4 linked regions of the Schizosaccharomyces pombe genome follow. Changing the gene in region 3 together with the main gene of any one other region gives a genetic interaction. Each region holds a gene or a part of one and is shown on either strand. Other genes may lie near its edges.

Evidence for each region.
Region 1: mutations in siw14 (region 3) and aps1 together harm fitness more than expected from each alone (negative genetic interaction), as found in Schizosaccharomyces pombe (one large-scale study listed by BioGRID).
Region 2: mutations in siw14 (region 3) and erp2 together harm fitness more than expected from each alone (negative genetic interaction), as found in Schizosaccharomyces pombe (one large-scale study listed by BioGRID).
Region 4: mutations in siw14 (region 3) and duc1 together harm fitness more than expected from each alone (negative genetic interaction), as found in Schizosaccharomyces pombe (one large-scale study listed by BioGRID).

The regions. Positions count from the first base shown.
Region 1 is NC_003424.3:198,137-202,066, reverse strand, and holds aps1 (diadenosine 5',5'''-p1,p6-hexaphosphate hydrolase Aps1), read right to left. Parts: upstream 2,030-3,930; 5' UTR 1,833-2,029; coding exon 1,200-1,832; 3' UTR 550-1,199; downstream 1-549. Other genes in the region: SPOM_SPAC13G6.13 (uncharacterized protein), read right to left, coding at 2,836-3,183; chs1 (chitin synthase I), read left to right, coding at 3,352-3,930.
Region 2 is NC_003424.3:1,766,045-1,769,173, reverse strand, and holds erp2 (COPII-coated vesicle-associated protein Erp2/3/4), read right to left. Parts: upstream 1,510-3,129; 5' UTR 1,464-1,509; intron 1,391-1,463; 5' UTR 1,388-1,390; coding exon 755-1,387; 3' UTR 529-754; downstream 1-528. Other genes in the region: protein phosphatase regulatory subunit Glc8, read left to right, coding at 1-86; SUMO deconjugating cysteine peptidase Ulp2, read left to right, coding at 2,463-2,483, 2,530-2,585, 2,644-2,837, 2,986-3,129.
Region 3 is NC_003423.3:1,403,415-1,407,325, forward strand, and holds siw14 (inositol pyrophosphatase Siw14), read right to left. Parts: upstream 2,319-3,911; 5' UTR 2,053-2,318; coding exon 1,560-2,052; exon of another isoform or gene 1,536-1,559; intron 1,429-1,535; coding exon 1,343-1,428; intron 1,282-1,342; coding exon 1,205-1,281; exon of another isoform or gene 1,154-1,204; coding exon 946-1,153; 3' UTR 562-945; downstream 1-561. Other genes in the region: protein aim19, read left to right, coding at 4-97, 157-176, 398-561. UniProt on the Schizosaccharomyces pombe protein: Cleaves the beta-phosphate at the 1- and 5-position of soluble inositol pyrophosphates. Has exopolyphosphatase activity in vitro but does not appear to contribute to the homeostasis of cellular polyphosphate.
Region 4 is NC_003421.2:351,759-358,325, reverse strand, and holds duc1 (protein duc1), read right to left. Parts: upstream 4,879-6,567; 5' UTR 3,871-4,878; coding exon 3,570-3,870; intron 3,471-3,569; coding exon 3,380-3,470; intron 3,058-3,379; coding exon 1,074-3,057; 3' UTR 553-1,073; downstream 1-552. Other genes in the region: SPOM_SPCC594.02C (uncharacterized protein), read left to right, coding at 1-62.

The sequences.
Region 1 (3,930 bases), on a different chromosome or scaffold from region 3:
TTACATTCTCGTTCAGATTAGATCCAGAAACTTATGCTGGGATCTAACAGGATTAACGACAATTGTTAGAATGTGAGACAGTGCTATTTAGTTCATTTTTAAAAGAATTGGCTATGACCGTCAAAGTTCTGAAAATAAAAATATATATATGTATTTTCTTCTTGTTTCTTTTTCTAAAAATTTTTTATTCTGATAGCTGAAGCTTTACTAACATAACTGCTAAATCCTACGTTTTTAATTTTGCAGTTTGTTTGGATTTTTAGGTGTGGTTATAAATTGCTTTTATGTACATTTTCACGTTGAACAACGTCAATCAAATATATTAAGTAATTCTCAAATTCTTATATAAGCATTTTGTACGAATATTTATACTAACGGATTGATGTTTGCTATAGTTCGTCGTTTCGCTATCTATTTACTACTAATTGAAAAGTATTTTTTAAAATTATCGCACGTAAGTGTAATGAGCGTCAATGGATTCACTATAATTCATAGCTATATGATTGCTGAAAGCCAATATAAAATTACACGACATATTCAAATTGACACACGAAACTTCTTGGGCTCATTAGTATCTAACAACGAATACGTTTTACCGTATGGAACAATTTTGTTTTTATTAACGTCACTAATCAAAATTGGTTGCAAACAATTAATATGCTAGCAACTAATGTGCTTTTTATGCATAGCACACAACGATAACGATTAACTCGCACCCTAGCATCAAACAGGTGGGATTAGATGATTTTTTAAGGAATGAAACTTTGTTTTAAAAAATTTGAATTATCATGCGATTCAATTGAAAATATATTTATAAATAGAATTAGTATGTTATGCAGACAATGATCTTAATCGAAAATATACAAAGAGAGTAAAAACTTTTAAAAAAGGAAAGAAAAAATAGCAGTTGAACTGCTGGAATATATGCTGTACCGCTGAAATCCTTTAAAGGATATATGTTTCATGAAATGAGCTTTATGTCGAAAACTCAATTTGACCCAGCTTGCTGAAAAAAAAAATAAGAATCAAGATTTGCAAACTTCAAGCCTTTTTAACACACTTGACATGGTAACTAATAGATATAACAATTTCGTAATCCCATGGAAAAAGATAAATATTGAAGCAAGAAATCAAAAAAAATGGTAAATTAAAATATTTGAATAAAAGGTTGCAAATGGTAAACATTATGCATCTGTACTTCAGTTTTCCTCTTTAATGATAGAGCTCTTCTCAAGAGCTGCCAAAATATCTTTACGACTTGTCAACGCTTCCTTTGCTTCTTGATAAGACATCCATTTTCGGCGACGCTTCCTCATCTCTGGGTAATTGTCTTCTAATCTTTCAACAATAACTTCAAAAAATTCACATTCGGCTCTAGGTGGAAGTAATAATTTCTCTGCTTCGGCTCCTAACTCGGTATTGGTTGAGACGTCATTTCCGCTACTTTTTGACATTAATTGCTTCAAATATTTTTTCCTTCTGTCAATAGTATCAGTAGGACGCTTATCCTTGAAAGACCCAAGGGATCTAGTGATATGACCCACTAGTCCGCCTTCTTCCCAACCTTCACGAAGGGCAGCTTGCTGAACAGATTCATCAGCCTCCCATCCACCCTTAGGAACTACCCAAGAAGGATGTTTTTTAGCAGAAGAAACTAATAGGACTTTCCTTTTGTCTGCAGATAAAGCAACAACACCCGCAGCAAGTCTGGCTCCTGTAATAGGATTGAATCGATTTTTCGTTCGACCTTCACGAGAAGTCATTGAGCGGTTCACTGCCGTCCGTAGATGATCCGGCTCCATTAAAATCACACTTCCGTTATTTTCAAGCATATGAACTATAAAGTACTCTTCTTTTCGACAAGTTGAATGGATTTGGTATAATTTCTTGCCTTATGGTAGAGTAAGGAAACGATGTCTGAAAAGGCAAAAGCAAGATGTTCAAAAGAATCTGAGTTCTTTTTGAACAAGGAAGAGATATAAATCTCCTATTCCGATGAATATAAATCGATCGCGAAAAGTGGTTTTCCGAAGGTTTCTCCCAGTGATTTAGGTTGGGATAACGAAATAGTGAAGTACAAACCGACACGCTAAACAGTTGTCGGAGACCAAATAATTTGCGGTGATATTTAAAATGAGAGATTGTATTAGAAAATAGGTAATTTATAATTTTTCAAAATAAATAGCTTGCGAGGAAAATACATTTTCATTTTGTATGCAGTAATCTCCAATTTGCGAAGTTGTTTGTATTCGTAGATTTCGCATCGAAAAATACCCACATTATCAATTCTTTGGACAAAATGAGGCTTTTTAAAAGGAGTACGCTTGTAGAAAATCTGTAAGTCTTAATCTTTTAATACACGGTTTTCGAAGTTTTGCATTGTATTTACTGTTCTGTTGTTCTATCTGATCATTGCTGATTCCTTCACTAACTCTTGATAAGTTGGGCTTTTTGAATCTGATAATATTGATAGTAAGAGAATCAATTAACACTAACCAATTGTTGATGCATTTTAATGTCGAGGAAAATAAAATAAAATAATTTAACAAAAAAAAGATTGGATAATTTAAATTCCCAATATCTGTTTTATTTAAAACAATTATTATAGCGAAAAAAAATGTTTATTATATAAAAAACAATAATTTATACAATTCAACTACTTCTATTACGTTTGGAATAAAAAGAAAATCGTTTAAAATAATAATATATCTAAATAAAATGAGTAATGTTGGAAGAAAATTGGCTTTTCGTTTGCTTTGTTATATACCTTAGCAAGCCATTGTATAAATTGTTATTTTTTAATTTTTTTTATATGAATAAATAATGAGATATGATTTACTTTTTAAGCTTTTGATAAAATTTGTTCATAACATAAACTTTGGTATGTGTATTCCTTCTTATAATTACAGTTGTATTTAGTTTTAACAATACGGAACAAATAATTATTTTTATGTATTTAGATTTGTCATACAATATAGCGAGTAAATGCCATTCTTCAATCATAAAAAAAGTACACTTTAGTTTGTTGCAATCTTCCACCACCTCATCACTTTTTTTTCTTTTGTAAACATTAATCTTCTTACTCTCTTTGTATTTAAATATTAAAAGAGTATAACAATTCCTTCTTTTATAATATTTTATTTTCATATCGTTGGCTTCTACAATCATTGGCAATTGAAACATTGTTGACAAGCATTCAGGGTTAAACAAACCATTGTTTCAATCATTACAACTGTAATTGTCTCCCCAAAATTGATTCTCACTATCATAAACTTGGATGCTGCTTTACAGAAAAAATCTAAGCGTATATTTGATAGAGCGATTTGAGGCTCGTTTCTACGGCTCTTGAAGATGAGAAGGTGGTTCAAAAAAACGCTACCACGCCCTCCTGATGAGGAGGAATCAGCTGGATTAACAAATAAAGATATTGTTGAAACCAATCACTTATATCCTACAATCACCAATTTGTCATTAAACAGTGATACTTCGTCCATTTTATTTGATAAAAATAAAAAACCTCTAAAACCGAAAATCATTATTCCTGATAAAGAATTTGATCTCGATTATTATTTAAAAGATGAAACGGAAAGTATTCAATCTCCATTTGAAGGTTTTACTGCTCAACCAAATTTTTCAAACTTCAATAAGCAAGGAAATACTATGAACCGAGAGGCAAATTTCCAAAGAACAAATGAAAAAATTCAAAGAAATAAAAGTATTAAACGAGTTAAATTATTTCATGGCAATCTCATCCTCGATTGTCCAATTCCTAAGAAGTTATTGGTTACACTTCCACAGCAAACAGAGCGAGAATTTGCTTACATGCGCTACAGTGCTGCTACATGTGATCCACAAGACTTTTCGAAAAGCCTATTCACTTTAAGGCAGCCCCTATTCTTTCAGCCGAGAAAAACTGAAATTTGTATTGCT
Region 2 (3,129 bases), on a different chromosome or scaffold from region 3:
AAAGCAGTGGTACAGAGAGTGATTTAGAGAGAGATAATAGCGATTCTGGGTCAGCTTCTGATGTAAATATGAATGAAAATGAGTGAATCACTTTATTAACTTTACGCATTATTGAAACGTGAGTTGCAAGTACAAAGGATCTTGAGTTTCATTTATTATAACGTCAAACGACTGCAAATTATTTTTTCGACCTTCAAAGTTTTATTACATGAGCTTTTGCGTCTTCTCCGTTTACGTTTTTTATTCATTTCTATTCCCCTTTTTTGCCCTTTTCACTTTGGTTGTACAGTTGTTCTGCTCGGTTTATATTAAAACCTTTCTTATGAACTTCAAATAGTTTAACGGCTTTCATTTCATTTTTATGCCCTTTTAGCAGTCTAATCCTTCATTTATGGCCGCTAACCCTACCCATTCTTTTTTTTTCATAGTATACAATTTTTTATACTTAAATACTCATTAAGCACATTTTTTCTTTATTTCGTTGATAGGTTGCTTAAATTTGTATGAAACACGAATACAGTTGTAAAATGCAATGAAGGAAATAATAATATTGCTTAGTGGAAAATACTTCAACTACAAGAAATTGTAATCCTTGATTTAATAAAGACGCATGTCGATTGTCTTATTTAAATCCTGGCATAATAATATAATCCTGAATAAAACAATAGAGCTATAAGCTTCGTTAAGACTGATTAAAGGCATACATAGGCATGACAGATATGAATATTGTTAGAAAGGTGACCGACTAGTCAGTTTATACACCTCTCCGACCAGATCGTTTAAAGAATGTCTTTACAATAAAGACTTGAAGAGCAGAAAGAGCGACAACCATTATAGATTCAGCAAGACTAAACCAAAAGATGCGGGCTTGAGTAGACTTTACAGTAGAATAATTACGATGCTCCCGAGTTTTGAAGTAATTTTGTACACGGTCAATTTCAGATAATGCGGTTGAGATCTCTAAAACAGTACTTTGCATGCTGTCCTTTTTGTAGTCTTTGGCTTCATCACGGGTTAATGCAGGAAGAGAAAGTTCATTTTCCATAGTGATTTCCATAGTCACAATTTTATCAGTAAACGTAGACATATGATTATCAAAACAGAATTCATATTCACCCTTTTCTTCGAGGGTGAAAAATACATCAGCCTGTCTTCTCTTTTTGCCAAGTGCAACGGTCTTCTGAGATGGTGCCTTGATCATATAATCGACATCAAAAGAACCGCCAGACTGAACAGCGTACGTGAAATGTGTTTTTTCGCCAGTGTGAAAAGAATCTAAGTAGTAACACTGCTTCTCTTGGTTTTCTAACTTGAATGTTAACTCAATAGCCGAAGCTAAGCTGGCGAGCAAAAATAGTGTTATGCCGCTTAGAGTAATTACGCGCATTTTCTATAAAGTAAGGTTAATCTTCAAAAATTTAATATAACTTTTAATTCCAATGTATCAAAACAAATTCACTTACGATATGTGAGTAGTTTTATGCTCAGCTGCAGAGTAGGCTGTTGCTACGTTGAGTGTTGACAGTGTGGAATATGCTGTATCGCAAAAGGCAAGTATCGATAGCGTTCTGGGAATATAAATTAGAGTATTAGTCTTAATAAATACTCTTAAAACAATTTTACAAATTTTTCTTCTTTTAATCATTTACAAAATTGTTTATGAAAATGAGTATAAACCCAGAATCATCAGCATACTAATAACAAATAGTAAACCTTCGAAAAATAAAAGCAGAAGTTTTTCTTCTTAATTATCAAAATAATTTGGTGGTTTTAAATGATCTAGTCCCAAACATAGTTTAGAAAGGAAATCGTTCAAAACTAACTTTCTTTACTATGATATCATATAATAAATATTCAAGTAATATTGGTATTATTATACTTCTTCATGATATTATACAAAGGTCAAACAGGTTTTCATGCGTGAATGTCCCATGCTCTTACTTGTTCTTAATGTATTGTTGTTATTTTTTTTTATAATTTACATTGATTTTAATGCGACTATGGTTGCAATTGACTAATGTATCTAATGCATTCGTAAATCAGAGATAAATACAAGTTTAAATAAACGATCTGTAAAATATATTCTAGTCAATAAAAAGAATTTAGAATAGTTTACAAAAAATCATTTTCTTGGAAGTTAACAGCAACATTTTGTTCGCTATTCGTTATTAAAAAATCAAAACAATCGTAATATGATTAATCAAAGGTTAGGAAGAAATCAGCTTAAAAAGCAACTATGCCTTTCGTTTTTTATTCATTTACATTGAGTTAAAGACACTGTTAGAGATACTTACATCCTTTGCATTGGTTGATACCCTTTATTTACATTGTTTTACCCAGATCATCTACCGCAAAATAATGAATCCTTATGTTTTATTTGGACGCGCTGTGGCTCACAAAACCTGTGCCATTGATTAAGTAGTAGGCTTCTCTATCTCGCCAAAACAGGTATGTCATGAAGAATGAGAGATTCCAAAGATGCCGTATGTTATTCTTTTTCGTTTCTTTTTCTTACTAACTATTTTTTAGCTGGATGATAAATCAGGGTCATTCACTAGTCTTCTTCCCCCGTTTGGAAAACAAAGGTTTGACTTTACCTCGTCTTTTAATTCACATTCCTATATTAATATTTTTACAATCTAGAGGTACTAGCCCAAATGATGCTATTCCTATTAAGAGCCCGCTAGAAAGGCTAGCGAATAGTGTAACATCCCCGGAAAAGCCAACGGTTCGAACTGCTATACAGAAGGATTCACCAAGGCGGAAGCAGATAGATGATGATCAAACACCTCCTAAGCACTTAAAACGCTCTTTTCAAAATGTTACAGTGGTTTCTCGTAAGTCGCAACTTTTTTGCTCTGATCCATGTGTAAAGCATGAGGAAATGCAAAATGTTTAGAACAATTCCTCTTCTTCAGTATCAATAATTGATTTTTTAAAATAAAAACTAACTTATTTTTGCCTCTTTTTGGCTACTTTGTTTAGCACGAAAAAAGAAAACAATTGATGTGGTCGAGCTGCCTTTCACAAAAGGGGGTTATGGAGGTTTTTACGATCCTAGGCCTGGGTGTTTAAAATTTACTACCCATGAAATAAATGTTTCTTACACAGATACTAGCATTCCAGTCA
Region 3 (3,911 bases):
CAGTAATTGCTTCTGTACCTAGAGCATTTAAACGACCCTATGGCGGTCCTTTCGTTCCTGGTTGTCTTTTGTGTGGTGGATTCAATGCTATAGGAGGGTATTTACAAATATACTTATTTCTTTTGTACTGTTCTATTTTACTAATTACTTTTTCAGTCTTGCAATTGCTAGTGGTGGTAAGTGATTTTGGTGACTAGTATTCCAATTCATTATATGTTGCCTTGGTAAAATACATAGGAATTTAAGGATAGACGTTTGATTTCAAATATTACTCCTCACGATCATTAAGCAGCTTTTATGAATGTGTTCAATTTCGTTTTAAAAAGTTTCAAGTCTTTGCAACTATTAGGATTGTTTTTCATTTGCTTTTCGCAATTTATTGACCTTACGAATATAGACTTAACCAACGGTTCAGGAATTTGTACAGCTTGGTCAATTGCCTATCTAATGATTAATGCTACCAAATCAATCAAATCTTTTCGACTATACCCAATTGCTCTAACTACATTCGCAACTGCCAACGCAGTCGGTTACGGGAAAACCTTCATGAATGAATATTAAAAAGTGATATATTATACGATATATACAACGTTGAACCTCAAAACCATTATTCCAAAAAAGAAGACGAAGAAAACGTGGTGGAAACACCACCGTATTTTCTTCAAATGTACAGTTACTTACTCCTATGAAATTCTGTAAAAATTCCTCGGATAGTAAATAGTACATATATATAAGCAAACAAGTTTATGAAAGAATTAAAAATTATAAAAGAAAATGTTATGTAGGAGGTAAATCCTAATTATGTACCATCTGGTAGCTATTAAGCATTTAAGCTATAACTAGGAAAAAGAACAAAATAGCGAAAGACATATATATATGGAACAGCCAAGTGATAAACACAAATAGAAAAAGTTGAAAAACAGGAATACTCTATAAGGCATTCAATTACGAACCGGGAGAACGACAAGTTTCATTCACAGTAGCAGCTTGCACTGTCGGAGACTCACTGGACAAAACGACATCAGCTAATTCTGAAGATGAATCACTAATATACCGTTTCAAATCATTGAGAGAAGACTTTAGAGATGGATCTGATGAAAAGTTCTGAATATATTCTTCGTCAACTTCACGTTCTTTGGGATGTGAAAAGGATCTTTATAGGTTAACAATTGATACGAAAACAATGAAATAAATGAAAACTTACATATATTCCTGTAAACGATTTCCGACTGGCCAATTCATCAATGCTCTTAGACAACCAATTACAATACCTGTGCGATGCTTAATGAATCGTTAGCAAAGCAATAATTAAGAAAATAATCTAAAGAAAAGAATAACCTACCTTTCCACGACTGCAATGGAGCAAAACAGGCCAATTTTCTTTATTTAAAAGAAGTTGTAAAGTTTTTCGTACAAGATCGTCAACGTCTAGCAAGCGGGTTAGCTAATCAAAGTAAAGTAATTAAAAAAAAACTTGAAACAAGGAATGAAGAATAATTAAAATATCTTTTTAATTTTTAAACAAAGTGTGCAACAAGTTAAGATGGTGGAAAGCTTACCTGAAATGTCGGGATTTGAGGAAGAGGAAATGCAATCGTTTTTCCGATGTTTGCTTCCAGGCATGGCAATATGATAATAATTAATGTGATGTTTAGTGAAGTAGTGGAGATCCTCTTCGGAATACTCTTCTTGTCTTAATGATATAATGGTACGGATGTGTAAGGATTCCAGGAAATTGAAATTAGAAGCACGTGGACATGCAGAACGATAAATAATTCCAGGATAAACGACCCCAAAATTATCTGGTACAAGCGGTGAATTGGAGAATGTCGAGGCATCGTTGGAAGTGTCAACTACCTTGATACCATCTTTATGGGCATTCAACTCTAAGCAACAAACTGGTTTTGCCTGTTCTTCCGAATTCACAGAATGACAATCGTTTAAACAACTGTCATGACTCGACACCTCGGGTATAGACATAGAAATTTGGTCCCTATCCGAAGTAATTGATATCAACTTCTTTTCAAGTTGGAATGGAAAAACAATGGCCATCAATCAACTACCCTCCCAAGCACATTCGAAAAATAAAGAAACCACTTAAAATGTTTCTCTAATTATGAACGATTGATGGTGCCACAACCTCAATTTGACTACTTAAGAAACTTCTAAACGATAGCGGTACCAGGACGACAAGCGTTAAGACCTGAACAGTAAATTGGAAATAAAGTACTATACAAAAATACTGATTTGGCAAATTTTGCCAAATGTATTACTTTTCTGAGGATATTGTAGATTCTTGGTGAGGTAAGGTATTTAGCAAATTAACCGGAGCCGATGAAGATGCACAAGTATACGGAAATTTACGGCATATTTATGTAAGCTAGAGAAGAGAGGGACGGTACACAGAAGCCAGAAATCTTTCACTGAATACTCTTATAAAATGCATTTTCACCTTCTTTTATTTGCGCGAGAATCCTATTAAAAACTACTATTCCATATGTCTTTTTTCAACCAAACATCTGGCACTGTAAGTCTAATCAGTAAGTCATAGATGCTAAATAGGAAGAATTATTCAATCCATAATAAAAAAAAACACTATAAAAGCTACAATCGAGTGCAAACAAACAATTCTTTTTCAATACAAAATAAATCGATATAATTTCCGCGACTTCAGTAAAATGCACTATATGAAGCCAATGATAGGATTCTGAGGCAATCTGTTAAGGAAAAAACGGTACCTCTTTAATATTATATTTTGATATGAAAGATACTATATTAGTACATAATCGTTCATATGTGAGTGTGAAAAATTGAGTAAACAAACCAGTAAAAAAAAAGGAATTATGAAAAAAAATTGGATAGAATTAAATACTGATACAGAAACAAGTATTAGAAGTTGAATAAAAGTTGGAAGCAACCGCATTGTTAACGAGTTGAATAATTTGATGTTTCAACTCTGCAATGTTAGGATACCAGTGATGCCGAGCAGCTCATCGAATTAAAACATAATCGAAATATTCATGTAAAATACTATTAATATACAATACAAATTACATTCATGAGTGATAATACATTTGGATTCGCAAATTCTTCGCAACATTATACAAAGAGTATGAGTATTCTTCTGTCTATAATTAGCACTATAAATTATTTTAACTTATACAGCAAATGTCTACGGCCATACCTAGGCGAAAACACCAGTTCCCGTCCGATCACTGCAGTTAAGCGTCTGAGGGCCTCGTTAGTACTATGGTTGGAGACAACATGGGAATCCGGGGTGCTGTAGGCTTCCTTTCATTACTGTATTCATTTTTTTTACATTACTTACACATGTTAGTGAACACAATGAAAGCAAACGTTTCTAAAATGTTTCAACAGACACGGCATGGTATATTAAACACCGGAATGTCAATTACATATGGTTTTTAAATTTGAGTTAATTCTTCTGTAAAAAGATAGTACCTACTTCTTTTTTTTATAGAAGAATGCCTACAAACACGTTTCTCATTGACCATAATAATTTTGCTATAATTGATGCTAACTAATATTGCCTTAAAATCTCCTTATAAACTCAAAAATACAAAGTAATCTTTTTAAATTGGCTGTTTTCTCAATTATGTATAATTTGGCCAACCTCGATCGACTCAGTAATTAAAATTAAAGCCGTAGTGAAGCTTTCTCATACTCTCCAATATGAAATTAATTATTGTGTGCGCTCACCCATCATTTTATTTACTATAAACAGCACCGTGGTGAACAGTTATAGTAGTACCAAAAAACGAATCTAATAATCTAACCCCTACAAAAGAAGTCTTCTACACTTTAATATACATTGGAAAAATGTTGCTCGCGACAGTGGTAATTATTTGTAGGTCCAATAAAACACCCTTTTTCCATGTACCCCAACAAGA
Region 4 (6,567 bases), on a different chromosome or scaffold from region 3:
ATGATTATGACGATACATCGTCTCGTAGCAGCACACTCACCGAAAGACCGGTAGTTCATTAACTGAAATATTGTGAATTATAAAGGCTGTGATATTAAGTCGGAAAATGTTCCCTATTGTCTCGTGGCAACTATTTCTGCTGATCTCTTTAGTATAATCGTGTTTTTAAGATCCGTTGGAAACAGCATCTTTCATGTTTTAATGTTTCAATTAACTTAATATTTCGCTGTTCAATAGGCTTCTTGTTTTAAATGCATCAAACATAGAGTTTTAACAAAACATAAATTAGGGAAAAGGAATAATCTTAACTGAACTTTTAAAAATTTTGACAGTAACTTACATAACTTTAGGTTTATCTGAATTTGTTTTCTGCTAAAATTTTTTAGTCTGCATCTATAGTGTATGTCAAAAAACATTGTTCTGTAGCGACTGCGTAGCTATGTAAAGACAATTTTGCTCATTTTACACGCAAGTCAGTAGATATGTATTATATACCACGTAGATTTGCAAATGGTAAATGAAGTTGTACTACTTACTTTCAAAAAAAGAAAATGAAAGAAAGAGTAAGGTCGAATTAATTAACTACAATCATTTATAAAGGTTATACATGTATAGGTAAGAGAAAAAAGACAAAAAGCCGACTTACAGCAAATCATATTAAAAAAAATGATGTCTAATGGGTCCATAAGAACAAACACAGATAAAGTATTGAAAGAAGCATATAAACAAAAATGCATTAGAAAGCCGACTAGGCCATATAAAAGGAACGATGATAGCTTCGGAAGGATGGAACGTAAATATTGACACTGAACACCTGCTATTAAAAAAAGATAAGCGAAATCATTTACCATGTAAAGAAAACCTTCCAGGATAATAATTAAATGGCTAGTCGAACTCATTTCATATTTTATTTACGGCAACATAATCTCTAATTTCCATTTATACAGTTAAAAGAGAGTGTCGCGTACCGAAACATAAAGTCATTATAGAGAGCACAAAAAAGAGCAGTATTCGACGATACAAGACAAACCGCCATTAAAGTCTAAAGAACAAAAAACAGGCCTAAATAATCGTTAAGTTTGTTTTCTTCTTTCACGCTCCTTAGCCTGCTCGGCAAGAACTGTCTCATCATCATCTTCGAGGAGGTCAAACTCGACAACAAACATAACAGCATCTTCATCATCGGTTTCACGCATCATATATCGGATTGGCTGATGACCATCAGAGTTCAAATGCTTATAAACATTGAGCCGAATGGGTCCGATATTCAAATTAAAGGTATTAAAATCCATATGAGGGGAAAAGAAACTCATGCAATAAACTACATCTTTATCGTAAAAGAAATTTTCTCGACAAAATTTGGAGCTTGAAAAGTACTTTCGTCTTTCCTTTACTGACTTGTGTTCACCAAAAATAAACGAATTGTCTTCTATAGGATCCACTTTGGGATTGGCGAATCTCCAAGGTCCAAGTTGTGGATCGAGATTATTTGAATCAGAAGGGATGTGTTTAACAGGTTTCGGTATTTTTGATTGACTAGTAGCCGTCCGCACGGGCTTTGGCCTCGTCAACGCCACATTAGACGTGGGTTGCTTTGCGACGGTGGTACTATTAGCATTCGCGGTAACAGTCTTTCCGTCAACAGATTGAGGCAATTGTTTTGAAGAAGGAGTATTAGATTGTGATACTTCATCAATCGATCGCTCCTCAACAATCTTTTCAGGTGTTGAAACGTGTTTTTTAAGCCTATTAGAAGGTGGGACACCGCTGGTTATAGATGTTTGTTCACGTAGCGGAGGTAACGACCCAGTCTCTCCAGCCACGTTAACAGCAGATGATGCTGAATCATTGGCATATGACAACGTGGAATGAGAAGAGGAAGGACGAGAAACGGAAAATGAGTTTCTTCCAGAAAAAGAAAAAATGTCAGATTTACGACGGTTACTTTCACTGGCTTCAATTCCAGAGTCAGATTCAATTAGGTCGGTTTTGTGATGATGATGATGGTGACGGTGTAAAGAACCTATGCGAATTAATTTATCAAGAGAGCGACGTGGCGCCGACATTTTCTTTTCTTTTTCAGTTTTTACAGCAGACGTGGATGCTGCACTAGCGGTAGAAAATCGATGAGTAGAATTACCGACGTCATCCGATTTCGAATCGTTTCTTAAACTTTTTTTTGAGCGAAGGGACATACGTTTTATTAGTTTGGGCGTGGAAAATTTTCCAAGATGTAAAGAAGGATGTGTAATTTTACGAAACGGGTCTTTGTTTTTAGATTTCTTATGCTGTTCCTTTTGATCCTGTTGCATTTCTAAAGCAGTAAAGTAACGTTGCAAGTCATCTTCATTTTCGTCATCAGGAACATTGGAAATACCATGCTTGTACACGTCCTTTCCATAATTCTCATCCATTATATAACCCTCTTCCAGGTCCAAACTAGGTTTGTGAAGCAATCCTAGCTGCTTGACATGTAAATTAAAATCCTTATGTTTATTGGTAATGTGACGATGTAATAAAAGCTCATCGTCTTCATCATCCTCCACAGGAGCTAGAGAAGTAGCTGCAGATTTTACAGATAATTGAGACACGTTTTGGGAAGTTTCAGTCTTAACTGATGGAGCATCCGGTATTGCAGCCGGAACGTTTAAATGTGAAAACCGTGTGCTATCGCTAAATCCAGCAAAACTCCAATACCGGTGTCTATTTTTTCGAGGTGCAGTGGTATTTCCAGAATCAGAGGATACTATACTAAGATCATCATTATCTGCAACGGTAGCGGGGGTAGCAGCAGGGGGATTTGGAGAGTCGGGTACTGCTGTAACAGTAATTGGCGGAGTAACAATATTTGTTTGAACATCTATTTGTGTCGTGGTTTTCTTGGGAGTAACGTTGGTAGAGGGAAGGTCTGATAAACTGACATCCGAGGAGTCGTTAATTTCAGGTAACGATTCAGTGTCTGATTCCTGAGAATCAGCTTCCACTAATGAAATAACAGCATCTTCAAGACGCGATGGAGCCGGCCATGCAGAGAGTGTATTCACACAAGCGACGAATCTAAGTCAAAAGGTTAAAAATCGTGTTTTAAAAAAAAAGATAATCTGAGAGGATAATGGAAAACCTTGCAATCGATAAGGCCAGAAAACAAAAAGACTATATGATTTGAATCAGGAACTCAAGAGGTAGTGGAAGCAAACCGATGGGGTGATTAAAAAATTATAAGAAAAATAAAAAAAAGAAAGAAAGAAAGCGAATAATCAAGATGCCTAAATTCGGTCTTTTGTTTTCAATAAACCTTTGTTTTCAGGCAATGCCCAGATTGTAAAAATTTTCGACCCTTTCTATTATGCATATCCAACAGACGAGCATCAATACTTACGGTGACATGATATACGGGGATCTGGCATATTTATCATAATACACAGCAGGGTCAATATATTTGGCAATCCGCATACCAGCTCGGAAAGCACCTAGTGAAAAGGAATTAGCATTAAGCACCGCGGAAAAAAAAAGACGAAATGAGATAAAACGAAGAAGAAAACTAAAGAATATGCTTTTAAAAAACTTACTTTCTGGGAAGGTAGAGATCATATGGTCGAACTGTGTGCCATAAATGACTTGATCTCCATTGTATTCCTTTTTGAATCGGCCTTCAGCTTGTATTTGAAACTTTCGTGAGCGACCTCGAAAATACTCGGAATCTCTCTTTGGAGGGCTACCGTCAGGAGTAAAACCATCGAAATCGCGTACGCGAACGAGGATTCTACCAACCCATAACGGGCCATCGACTTCAGTAGGCCGCCCTTCATAATTCACCCAAGCAATCTGTGTGTGCTGTGCATCGCAGCCAATACTGACCTTTAATTTCATTTCCAAGGATCTCTTTGGCCCTTTTACCTCTCCAAAATACGGTCTTTTCACTAGCGTACCAGGGTGTTTGGCTAAAGGTAAGTCGTGGGTTCCTCTGCCATCCGACGTCAGCTTTGTAAAATTGTGAGACCCAACATTGGGTCCCGTATTGCGGTTTCTGTATACGAGGTGGAGAGGGGGAGACCCCTCTCTTTAATCCAGAATATCGAGAGTCTATCGATGATGAAGATTTGCACGCAAAAATAAAAAACCGAGGCAGAGTGATGGTGGTATTGTTTCGATTACGAGAAGAGCTTGTCGTGAGAAAAAGGGTACTATAAGGAAAAATAACGTGTCGCGGTATTCGTTTGGCTGTCGCGTCACATGTGTCAGTGTAAACAAGCCAAAAATACTAGGATGGATGAACGGGCAATAGGAAAAAAGAGAAAGGAACGATTAGAGCTGATGATGCTAAATGAAGGAGGATTTAATGAAAAGCTTTAATTTTATCGCACAAGACATTGAATGAATACATGGTCCTCTATCATAGATGAAGATGAATGGGGAGATGAATGCAATGGGATTCTTTTAGAATGTTGTCTTTTTGTTTTGAGCAGAGACTAAAAACGAAATGGGAATTATTTGGCGAAAGGTGTTGGTGTATGCAAAACAGACTCAATACTCATATGATCGGTTGTGGATAGGAGTGCAACATTACCAAGTCCATGAGAATCGAACAAAAATCAATAATAGGAGGAAAAGATTTCAACAAGAAAGAGTATAAGCGAAAATGAGTTTTTCATTGAACTCTTCTGTTCCAAAATTTGTTTTGTACAGTTTTCACCTCACCTTTCAAAAAACTATTGTATGAGCATGGAAAGCTAGTTAGACGATGGGCAATTCTATACCAAATCTAAAATATTTCAAAAGTTAGTGGGAAAATCCTTCGTAAAAAAAGGTATCCGAATTTAAGATATTCATTTCTTCTCATGCCATGTGTATCAACTTATTTACAGAAAGACCATGTCTGAAGAGGGACAAAATCATGTTATTCTTCCAAATTTCACTCTTGTTGACGATTTGACTACCCGACTAAACGATAGCGTACTATTTCTCAAACGCCGTATTATTTTTAAAGCAATTAAACGAATTGCCAATTTGAGTTAACAGATTTCAGCAGCAAAATGATGGAAATACCGTACAACGTGATAACACATTGCATGGTACTACGTTTAATATAACGTACCGCAGTGTGATAGCTTTGCGTGTAATACACAGTTATGCGTTGCGGTCTAAACAGCATTTTGCGTATCTCTGCGTGCGAGACAGCACTTGGATACCAAACTAGTTTAAAGTGCCATGGTATAACCCATTAAAGGCGCACGTTGCATAGCGGTACAGCTCGAGAAATGTATAAACAAGAACGCACATAAATATCCAGATGATTAAATAGAAAGAAGAATTATTTAGCATTTTAACTAATTATTCATGTTTTAAAGCTGAGCAGGTTCTTAAAGTGCCAAATATTCTAAAAGTCAAATTTTTTTCAATTTTTGCTTGCTTTTCCACTTTTTTCTCCATATTCTGGGGGTACTATTGTAAAAGCCAACCAAATTACCTTCATTTCTTTTGTTCTTTTGCATCTTTATTTTTATTAACTAAAGCTTCATTCATCTTTTCATCATTCATAGCATACCAAGTGAATCCAAAGTTTCACCTCCTTGTCATATCTCTTTCTTCTGTTTACCCAGCCCAGCGACACAGCAACGGTCCAGCTCAGTCTCAGTCCAGATCTCACTTCTCATACTGGTGAAATACTTTTACATAAAAAATGTCTATGTCAACGTTACTCAGTCGCACTCAGTGTCCAACAGGCAACTCTCAAAAAGTGTGAAATGTCAAGTTGACATCTAAGCTACAATCAGATTAGATTTTTCTTCATAAAAATCCAGCCTCGTTATTTCATCATTATTTTACCATTACGTAATTTTGCGCATTTCGCAAGAAAAACTCCTGAATCTCCTTACGATTTACGTTACGTTATGCGAATGCAACACGACGCGACGCGACGCGACCGATTCCATGAGATCAGCCATTCCCTATTACGTATTTCATTGGAATTCCTTCCAGTACTTTATAATATTTAAGGAAAATCCCTCGCACATCACAATATTCGATGCGAGTTGGTGTCGCCTAGATGATGCTAAAAAGTAATCTAGTCACAATCATCATCATATCACATCCCATCGCATCCCATCGCATCCCATCAAAATCGCATTGTATTGTATGGTATTATATTGTATAGTGTATTTCATTGCATCGCATAACATGGCATAGCATTTAAATCATCTTGTTTGTATTAACAAAGGTCAGTCAACTAGTTAGTTAGTCTAACAATTTCATTCCAAATCTTTCGACCTAAAGTCGGATCGGAATTCTCATTTTCGCAATAATTTTTCTCATCACAAAAGTTTATCGCTACTCTATAAATCTTTCAATCATTGCCACTTCGATCGCTTCATCATTGCTGGAAGGCTGAGTCAAATAAAAAAATGGTCAAGATAACAGTCATTGCTAATGACTGACTTTCCCGACTTTGTCTACTTATTTCTTCATCAGATGACATACATCAAGTGATTCATACTCATTTACGTTGAGTTTACTCTCCAGCTCCTTGTTGCATTTGCCCACTAAATTGAAAAAAACGATTTATTCACA